Drosophila melanogaster: one gene and its partners. The protein of the gene in region 3 interacts with the protein of the main gene of each other region in a pairwise test. Each region holds a gene or a part of one and is shown on either strand. Other genes may lie near its edges.

Region 1 (3,249 bases), on a different chromosome or scaffold from region 3:
GAGCTCCGTGGGGCGGAGGAGCTTGGTCAGGAGAGAGAGGATGGGGGATATAAGTAAGCCAAGAAAATCCATTGCCACTCAGAGTCGGACGTCTTAATTAGGTTTTCTGCTGAAAAGTGCCGAAAAATGTTGGCTAATGCCCAACTTGCCACGCCCACACGAGCAGCAGACATTGTCTCTGACCCACAAATGGTCCTCCATCCTACCAAAAGCCCCTCTCCCTTTTTAGTCATGCCCCAATTTGAAGCTTTCTTCTGGTTCTCCCAGCGCGATTATAAATGACATCGCATTAGTCTTGGTCGGGTTAATGTGCGTTTCCTTTGGCCAAAAAACTGCCAACTTCGCACAACTTCATTAGTGGAGAACCATGTGAGAAAAGCAGAATATCAGACACTTGTCTCCCGCTTGAAGAGTTCCGGGAATTAAAGTACAGTTGCTTTTTCGTCCTACGCAGGTCTTGATTCTAGCCCTTTGAGGCATTCAGTTAGAATGGCTAAGTATGAACATTAAGTTATCAAAACATCTTATATACTTAATACGTTCAAGACAAAGTGCTACATATAAAAATATCCCCTATAAAAGGTACATTTTCTGCTTACCAAAACTAAATACCAAACCTATAAACTTGAGCTTAAATTATAACATTTTACGTAAGATACATTTTTAAGTCATTACCAGATAAAAATGAACTGTAAGTTTTCATCTGCGTAAAAACCTATTTTACCAAAATTCTAATCTAAAGAGTCGGTGGTTTGGGCAGTTCTTCGATCCCTGAGTTCCTGCTGATGCTTAATGGTCACCTCGAGGAACTTCAGATAGCCCTCGTCAATGGGTTCGATCTCCTCATCCTCGGAAGAACTCTCGTACACGTAGTCCAGGCAGTGAAACGTTCCTGTTTCCTTGGGAATATCCTCAAGGTCCTGATCCAGATTCGGATTAACCTCAGGGCAGAGACTCATAACATGATTGTGGTGCCATTCAAAAAGGCTTTGGTATACTACAATAACAGGGAATTTTAAATGGTTAACACTATTAAAAAACTTATTAATGACTATTATTGTTACTTTGAGCCACATTGCTCCACTGATCTCGAGATGTATGTGGCTTCGGCTTTCCCTCACTTTTCTGCCTTCGTCTGCGCTGCTTGCTCCTATTCCTGTTTCTTTTCCTTGCCATTTCCTCCGATTTCCAATCCTCCATTGGCTTTTATTAGGAAAATACAAACATTCGTCGCCTTTTGTTTACTTCTCAGCATAAGCAATAACAAGATTGCAGTGTTGCCAAATTATCCAAAATGTGGCCAGAAACTGAAATCTAGCGACCGCTTCACAGAATTATATATTTTGGTTCATATGAAGCGCTTTAATAATGATTCATTATAATTTTGATTTGGCAATTGGTTGTTTTCTTTGTAAATAATTTTAAATAATATCTTTTTAAAAGCAGTTTAAGATTGTGATGTGAATAATCGTCTATCGGACTGTAACAGCTGTTAATTCCAGTGTGTGTACAGATTGTAAACAACGCGAACTCCAGATGGCGTCTTATTACTGTTACCGGAAATTAAGTACAGGGGCTTTCAGGGAACAACAGATGGCGCCACCATGTTACTTTTAGATATAATAATTATTGTTTCTAACTTAGAATCTCATAGATACATATTAAAAAAAATTGTCTTAAAAATCAATACAATATATTACAAAATTTATATAATTAATAATTATGAAATTATGCCGCAAATTAATGAAATGAAATTTTATTCATTTTTGAAGAATTACTTATTCCAACAAAATCTCTTCATTTCTTAAATGATAAAACCCTTATATTTCCCTGCCCTCGCGGCCAACCCCTTGAAGGCCTTTTCCGGTCAACCGACTGACTTCAAAACTCTGGTTCAGACCTTCCCGGCAAAGGGCAAGCGCAAAGTTAAAGCCAGAGCAGAAGCCAAGCCGGATCGGACCGAAATCCAGATCCAAGCCAATCCCAGCCAGAAACATAGCCAAACCAGGGCTAAGGCTAAAGCCTGAGGAAAAGGCAGAGGAGTTTTGTTTTTCTAGCAAATTCAAATCCCGCGCTTATAAATCTCGGTCGATCGGTCGGTCGCTCGAAGTAGCGAAGAAGAAGTTCGGGAACCAAAACTAAAACTGGGATTAGGGCGGATCAATTTGGCTGTAGTGCGAATGCAAATTGGCCAGCGGTACGATTTAAATGAGGCGGCCAAACAAAGAGCACATTGATATGGAGTGCATCCTGCTGAGCCGGAACAAAAAGTCCGGGTATGGATGCACTTCCACTTTACCTGCCTCGTCCGGTTCATAAAGGAAAATTAGGTTTACACCTTCCCGGCCAATATGTTCATAAAACAATTTAGAGATTTACAAGGGGATCAACTTGAATGTGGTGCACAGTACATTCCATCCAACATATCCTGTGCCCCTCGTTCTTTTTTCCGTTCTCTTAAGTGGGTGTGGGTGTGTTTGTATTGCGGTTTTAGTGTAGCGAAAAAGGCGCGTGGTTATGGTTATGGATACGGATACAGATATGGATATCATGGCCATCATCCCGCCCATCATCCCTCACTTTTCCCGAGCAATTCACACATGTTTACTTTGGCAACTAGCGGGGGGAACGAAAGCTCTTCATTTCCGATGAAGTAATATGCGTTCTGATAATATGAAAAACATCCTGCGGCCAGGATTTGCACGCACTTATTCCCTTTTAATGGACTTGGCCAGCGATTTTTTGCCCGCATTTATTTTGCATATTTTTTGCGCGCATCGAAGCCAAAAAAAGATTTTAATTCGAGTGGTTCCTACGTGTGCTGGTGCCAGTAAACTAGTTCGGAAATTCGAATTTACATTGAAATAATTTCAGATTTGGAGAGCATAAACTTATAGACGACGTTGGTCAGGATGGCGGATCATGCTCAAATAGAATATAATATATAGTATATATAGTTGAAAACAGCAATGAAATAAGCTTCTAAACTATAGAATGGTGTAATTTTTACGGTACCATGACTTTTGTTTAATTTTTACATATTATTTTTTATAATTCTTCCATTCGGAACCAGTTCCATTTCGGCTACTCGATTCGAATTCCAAGGAGAATCCTCGCCGCGGGGAACTGGGCGATTGCTACTTACTTGAGCTACATTAGGGACAATTTGCATTTGCACGGCTCGCAAATAGATATGTGGCCGCAGGACAACAAGACAATCAGGACTATCGGAACAATCGGAAGATGGGA
Region 2 (3,755 bases), on a different chromosome or scaffold from region 3:
GGGTATTAGGCAAACTCAACCACCTTTACAAAAGCCGCCTTGCTTGCACAGCTTCTACATTGATTTATAGCATAAGCGCAGACTCGGTCATCTCGTTAAGTTCCTCTTCAAGGGCCCCGCTTCCGTTTTCCTTGTTGCTTAGAAATGTGAAGTGCACCAGGCGTTTGTCGTGCTGCTCGTGGCCGGCCAGATGTGATCGCATCTCGGGCATCGACTTGAACTCCTCATTGCACACCGGACAAATGTAGATCCGCTCGCCCTGATGTGTACGCTGGTGCATCTGGCAGTCACCCCGCTGCGTAAAGGTCTTCGAGCAGAAGGGACAGACGTACGGCCGCTCACCTGTGTGCGTCCTTCGGTGGTTCTTTAGCACATTGAGGGCAGTGAATCTCATGGGGCAGAGATCGCAGGCGTATGGCCGTTCGCCAGTGTGCTTTCGTTTGTGCTTGGCCAGGGAGCAACTAGTGGTGAATCTGGCCAAGCACACCTCACACTCGAAGGGCTTGTCGCCGGTGTGGGTGCGTGCATGAGAGGTGAGTTCCGCCTTGGTAACAAACGAGTGCGGGCACAGCTCGCACTTGAAACTCTTTGTCTCCGAGTGACGCAGCTTGTGCTGGCGCAGATTGGCATTCTGTGTAAAGCTCTTGCCACAGATATTGCACACAAAGGGTTTCTCGCCGGTGTGGATGCGCATGTGGTCACGCAGCGTGGACAGCATGGTGAATACTACAATATTAAGAGACAATTAAATAGGATTTTCGACCACTCTTTGTTATCTTACCTTTCTGACAGATATTGCACTGATTCCGCAGATTCCGCTTGTGGCCCTGCACCATGTGCTTGCTAAGTGCCTCCTTGGAATCACAGCGTATTCCACACTCCGGGCAATTGTGGGCACCATGACTGGCCTGGTGTTCCGCCAAGTGATCCGGCGACACGAAGACCTTTTCGCACTCATTGCACTTGTAGTTGCGATTAATGCAGCCCTTTTGGCGTCTGTGGATCATCAACGATTTCTCCACCGCGAATCCCGCATTGCAACGATCACAGTGATATTTGAGCTCAGGGGTAGTAGCTGCTCCTGACGTTGTGCTTGGCCCGTTTACTGTTCCCGCTCTTGGCGCGCTGAGTTTTCGCTGTGTTCCTAACCGATGCTGTTTGGGGGAAGGCTCTGCATCTGACGGCGGTGTAGCCGGTACATCCTGCTTGACAACTCCGCGACGCCGTGAGGTGCGCTTAGCCGACTGAGGTACTTGTTCCTTCTCTAATTCGCGTGCTTCCTCCTTAGAACCCACAGGAGTCTGATGCTTATCGTTTTCCTGCTGCGTTAGAAGCTTGGCAGCGCTCTTTCTGGTGGTTACCTGCGGAGCGGTTACTGTGATGATCTCCGCCTCGTTATCGACACCTTCGAAGATGGCCAGGTTACATTCCCTGATCTGCTGTTCCAGCTCGTGGTCGTCGCCTTCGTAAATAACATTGGTTTGGGTAAACACAACTTCCTTTTCGTCCTTCAAGTTCCCCTGGACCTGCAGGATGAGGCTGGTGGTCTTTTCGACGGGCTCATCCGGCAGCTCGTAATCGAATACCTCGCCCTCGCCTTCGTAGTCCAGGTCCACTGAAATCGTTGACTTAATCAGGCTGGTATTCTGTTCGGCGTCTGTGGTAGTCACTGCGTCCGTTTGCACGGAGGCTGTGCATCTGTCCGGCTCCCAGCTAGTGGTCTGCACAGCCTGGTCCGTCGTGGCCACTGGACAACTGATAGACACCTTGCTATCGGGCTCCTCCGGCAACGCATTCGGCAGCAATTGGCGCAGGGTGCGACTGGAGTTCTCGCACTTGATCTTGAAGGTATAGCAATTGGAGATTTCACTCAAACAGCTTAGGCACACCTTCTCGGGCAGATTATCGTTGCGGCGGGGCTTGAAAACGCGAATTAAATCGAGATTAACATGGAAATCAGGATCACTCGGCGAAGGCAACTCACCTTGGTTTTTGTGAACTCCCGGATCATGTCCGCCAGGCAGCTGCCGGATCCGCCGTCGTAGATGGACAGGAGTGGTCCCGTGGAACTCAGGCAGGTAAGACAGATCTTGTCCACATCCATTTCGCGACGCAATCGGTCAAATGCAGAAACAAAATAAAACAATTAAATAAATGCAGTATGGCTGAAGTTTGTTACGCTGAATATACCGATGCATTTCAAGTGCACCTGGTCACACCTTTAATGCTGTTGGCGGCCTTCGCGCAATTCAAAAAATAATTCTAATGAGTAAAGAAGAGTATTAAATAATCTAATTTTATGGCGATAAGTGCATTGAAATAAAATTATTTCAAATGTGAATCGTATATATACAAGAATCTGGGCTTATTCTTGTTTCATCTAATTTTTTTACTTATTAACAACAAATAATTCTTTTCCCAATCGATATTGAGTTATATTAAATTGTGATCACGAGAGTTCGGCTCATCTCTATAGATTAGAATTGTTTCGACAAAAGATAAGCTCTTTTGACCATAATCAGAAAAACACAGGTTATAAAGATTTCCCACTATGTCGAAATCCGGAGAGTTTACATTCCGGCGTGCTCTAGCTGAAGATATTAAAGATGTGCTCTCCATGATTCAAGTTGAGTTTTATAAGATTCCTATTTTAATACCAATTTGAGATACTTTTGAATTGATCTGCAGGAACTGGCTGACTTTGAGAAGATGAGCAATGGTCCCCAGCTAACAGAGGAAGGTAAGAGATGGCGAAACCCTTACCATAGTAATGAAATAATGGTAAAGTAATGGATTGTAATATGACAGATCTTAAACGAGACGCAGGACTCACTGGTGGCCAGGAGTATTGTGAAGTCTATGTGCTTGTAGACAACGATACTGAGTAAGTGCTGTAGTTCTTGGCATGACCTGATTAACTTGTGGGCTTGTTCTCCTATTCTAGTCAGGCGATTGGGTACTCCATTTGCTACAAGGCATACTCAACGTGGCAGGGACGGTACTTCTTCGTCGAGGACATCTATGTCCGCCCCGAGCACCGTAAACGCGGCGCCGGAAAGCGAATCTTCTTGGAGGTTGCATCGCGGGCTGTAGAGCTTCAGTGCCCTCGCCTGGAGTTTAATGTACTGGAATGGAATCCTGCACGCAAGTTCTACGAAAGTCTTGGTGCCGTGGATTTGACAGATAAAGAGGGCTGGCACTACTACCGCGTGGAGGAGCAACAACTGGCCAAATTGGCCGCGGATCTGAGGGCAAAAAAATCTTAACTTGATTTGATTTTCAATTTTTACTACTTTATAGTAGGGCGATAAATAATTAATAATACTTGGCCATGGGCCATATGTGCTATGAGTACATTGCAATTAATTCGTTTGGCTTCTCATTGATCCCCCGCCACACTTGCGATGACATGGATCTGCATGCTCTTCGTGGAGTTGTAGACTTGACCGGGCGGAAAGGGATGCACCTTGGAGTGGCCATCGGTTTTACTTTTGCCACCGGCAGTATACTTGGATAATCGAATGCTGGGCATTGGTAGAAAGCCGGTGCTCAGCGGCATTACATCCAGCGATATGGAATGACTGTCGACGTCCTTCATGGATACGACACCTAAAAGGTTAAGTAAAAATTAGTTAGTCAACAAGTACAGACTGTTGGTTCATCGAAGTAAGCCAATTTTCTTTTTCAGTGTTAAATGTTTCCAATCAAAAGCAAGGGCAAATCTAGTTAGTGCTACGTGTGTCCTATTCCAAGGA
Region 3 (3,755 bases):
ATTGTTAATTTAAATTATGTAATTTTATTCGACGAGAAATCGCTAGTAATATAGAAAGCAAACAAATATGCTTAATTTAAGCAAAACTCAAAAACTTTTTATTGTACAAGTAGGGGGGAGGCCAATAGCATTTGGAAAGAAAAGCAAGCGATGATTAGATCAGAACCTGTGCACGATAGTGCTTCTGCAGCTTATTGGCCTTGCAGCCGAGCTTCATCTGCCACTTGGACTGGACGCGCTTCATCAGATGAATGTCGCGTGCCTTGCGGGCGGCGGACAGCTGCTGCGTTTGCGTCCAGCCCAGAGCCCGGTACTCGCTGAGCACGCGGTGCAGTTTGCGGTCGGACTTCTTGATGACGACGGCGCGTTCCGGACGAAGACGCTGCTTGTAGTAGCGAAGCAGGGAGCGATGACCAATGACCGCGCCTGAGGGCAGCACCAGCTGATACTCATCGCCATCGAGCAGATCCGGCACCACCTCTTCGTCAATGTCCATGCCCTCATTCTGTGCGGGTTAAAAGGTTTTCCAAGATTCAGTCAGCATAAATGGAGGTTTGCTTGTGCTATGTGATACTCACATTGTCCGGATAACTGCTGCTGTAGTCGTAGTATTCGGCATACTCGGCCAGCGCCACACCCTCGTGCAGCATCTGGCAGTGGCCCTTGTCGATCATGTGTTTGCGCACGGCGTCCAGGGAATAGAAGGTCTTGCCGCGATCGTTGCAGAACAGGCAGATGAAGTAGTTGGCCACCTTCTCGCCCAGGTAGTACAGAAGGCCCTCGATGTCCGTGCAGTACTCGGTGTCCGGAATGAAGAACGAGTGCGCCACGGACATGTGCTTTAGGTTCTCCACCAGATCCTCGCTGGCATGTGTGCAGAACAGGCAGTCGCGCTCGGTCAGCGGATTCTCGGGTATCTTGTCCCACTCATCGGAATCCACCTGCAAAAAATCAAGTTGTTCTTTATAAGAAGCTGTATACGTTGTAAAGGTGCATATCTTAACCAGGCATAGAATCTCCAAGGAAATCATTCTCAAGGTAACCCTTCTATGAGCAAGGAAAAGTCTAATGCGAGCTCTATCTGCATAGCGCTTCCTACCTCCTCCTCTTCAATGTCCTCGAAATCATCGTCGTCCTCGTCGACCATCTCCTCGTCGTTATTGGCCTTGACCACCCGCTCCGCGAAGGCCAGTCGACCCTTGCCAGCGGCTGCGGCGGCCAGGGCCGGATGGGGCCGCTGCTCCACGACGCTGCGCGTGCACACGGATGTGGCGGTGCTGGCGCTGCCGCCGCTAGCTGTCATCTGCTCGCGCTCGAAGCGGGCCAGCAGCTCCTTGTGCTTGCGGCTGTTCAGGTGGTTGTCGTGCGCCTTCTGGCTGGCGAATTGGCGTCTGCAGGCGTGGCAGTAGACACTTAGGTTCTGCTCCTCGAGTGCCGCGTCCGTGGCGCTGCGGGCGCTAAGAACGCGCTGCTGGAACTCCTCGGCCGTAACGGGCGGCAGCTGGGCCACCCTGCGCTTCAGATTGTAGCGATGCCAGTCGGTCTTGTAGTGATTCCGCTGCACATCCGCGCTGGCGAAGCGGGCATCGCAGTTCAGGCAGGTGAAGTGCGACATTGTGGCGCTGAGTGGATTCGATGATCGCTTGACTGGCACTCTCGTTTTCGTTGGCACTCTGGAATGGCGTATTTCACAATGGAAAGTAAGGCTGCTCAATTTAATGGTGATGATTAAAAAACAAAACCACGTTCTTGACAGTGTGACCAGACGGCACTCACGTCGGCACCATCCACACACAATATACTAAACAAAGAATTTGTTATATGTTATATATATGAGTGCTTTGAATTTCAACAATGAATTAATAGTAATTAATGAAAAATGAGTTTTGTAAATCAGCCCTATTTTTTTATTACTTTAACTTTCTGTTTTTCCTGTGTTCCTGTTTTATAAATGTTCTCATTTGCGCACCACGGTCACATTGGCTTTGTTGCCATTTGTTGTTGCCTCCGATTTCCGCATTTTCAAAGGATCCGGATTTCGGAAAGCAAACGATGCAGTAAGTGAATAAGTAAGTGGTATGTGAAGCAACTAATTTTGCAACTTGGCTACTCTCCCTTCGTCCAGACGATCCCGAGCCAGCAGCACCAGCAGTGGCCGGCATCCGGCGCCGCCGCCAATTGGGCTGCCCCAGCCGCAGGCGCAGCCACTGGAGGCGCCAAAGATTATCGTCATCCATCCTGGATCGCAGCACTTGAGGATCGGCAGGGCGGCCGACCTTAATCCGCTGACCCTGCTGCACGCGGTGGCCTACAGGAGGCGTCCGGGGGCCAGCGATAGGCCGCATCATGATCCGCTGCTGCCGCCGCTGGACAACGTCAACTCAAACTCCGGCCTGATGGTGGAGTTCGAGGAGCAGCGCCTGGTGGTGTCGCGCATTCTGCAGCACTGCGTCGTCGATAACAAAAACCGGTTGCGGGTGGCCACTCCGCCGCAGCAACTGGCCCACTTCAACCGGAGCAGTCAGGCGGAGAAGGTGCCGGCGCCCAGTGGCCAGATGGCGGACGAGCCCTGGCTGGATCGCGAGGCACCCGTGCTGTTCGACGACCGTATCCTGCGACTCGGTGCTGTGGATGCCCGCAACTACGACATCCATTTTCCCATTCAAAGGGGCGAGCTGAATGTGCACAACGAGAAGGGCGGCTCGCTACAAGTGTGTGCTGCGTTGTTCCTCGTAGTTTCCAAACTAAACTGATGAAGCTGTTTTTTTTTTTTCAGGCCAGCATGCAGCACTTGGAACGAATCTGGTCGTACGCCCTGGAAGAGCGTCTGAAGATCCCGCTGCGTAAACTGGGCACCCACTGCGCCGTCTTGGTGGTCAACGATGTCTATGTGCGGCGGCATCTGCGCGAGTTCGTGACCCTGCTGCTGAGGCGTTTGGGCTTTCGGCGCTGCTTCCTCGTCCAGGACAGCGTCGCCTCCACCTTTGGCGCCGGCATTGGGTACGGCTGTGTGGTGGACATTGGCGCCCAAAAGACCTCCATAGCCTGCATCGAGGACGGAATTTCGCAGCTGGATGCCAGGGTGCGGCTGTCCTATGGCGGCGGCGACCTGGATCAGGTGCTACTCCTGCTGCTGCGAAAGTGCGGCTTTCCCTATCGCGAGTGCAATGTGCAGGAGAGCTATGTGGATGCCCATCTGCTGGACGAGCTGAAGGAAAAGTTTTGCCACCTGAACGCCAGCGTTTGTGGCGCCCAGGAGAAGCACTTCAACCTGCGCAAACATAACGGCCAGTGGCTGCGCTACACCATACAGGTGGGCGATGAGGCCCTAATGGCGCCACTGGCCCTCTTCCACACGGAGCTGTTGAACATCACGGGCCGAACGAAAGCGGTTTTCACACAGCAGGCGGTGCAGGACCAATACGACTGCGAGGACTGCTTCGATGCGGAGTATCTGAAGGAGACGGGTCGAAAAAATGGCGTAAGGGGTGGCGACATCTTGCAGCTATCCACCAGCGCCGGATACCAGCCGCGGCCGCAGCTGCCTGTGACCGCCGACGATGAGGAGCTCATTGTGGTGGATCAAGACGAGACCATCAGCAACTGTCAGTCGCAGCTGGGTGCACAGACAGCTGGTGGGCAGATGAACTCGAACGGCTGCTACCACAACGGCCAGGGTCTGGTATTGCCCTTGGACCAGGCCATAATCCAGTCCATTAACCGGCTGTCCAGCTACGAGACCAAGCGCAAGATGT

The links.
Region 1: the proteins of CG6769 (region 3) and CG13689 interact in a two-hybrid assay, tested with the Drosophila melanogaster proteins (one large-scale study listed by BioGRID).
Region 2: the proteins of CG6769 (region 3) and CG6654 interact in a two-hybrid assay, tested with the Drosophila melanogaster proteins (one large-scale study listed by BioGRID).

Annotation. Positions count from the first base shown.
Region 1 is NT_033779.5:600,822-604,070, reverse strand, and holds CG13689 (uncharacterized protein), read right to left. Parts: upstream 1,259-3,249; 5' UTR 1,201-1,258; coding exon 1,065-1,200; intron 998-1,064; coding exon 732-997; 3' UTR 509-731; downstream 1-508.
Region 2 is NT_033777.3:15,211,482-15,215,236, forward strand, and holds the start of CG6654 (uncharacterized protein), read right to left. Parts: upstream 2,178-3,755; 5' UTR 2,105-2,177; coding exon 1,985-2,104; intron 1,920-1,984; coding exon 782-1,919; intron 727-781; coding exon 65-726; 3' UTR 1-64. Other genes in the region: CG4210 (uncharacterized protein), read left to right, coding at 2,552-2,626, 2,689-2,740, 2,809-2,884, 2,945-3,266; SIDL (shal interactor of Di-Leucine motif), read right to left, coding at 3,380-3,609.
Region 3 is NC_004354.4:17,859,024-17,862,778, reverse strand, and holds CG6769 (uncharacterized protein), read right to left. Parts: upstream 1,778-3,755; 5' UTR 1,616-1,777; coding exon 1,100-1,615; intron 942-1,099; coding exon 579-941; intron 506-578; coding exon 155-505; 3' UTR 4-154; downstream 1-3. Other genes in the region: Arp8 (Actin-related protein 8), read left to right, coding at 2,053-2,057, 2,126-2,711, 2,777-3,755.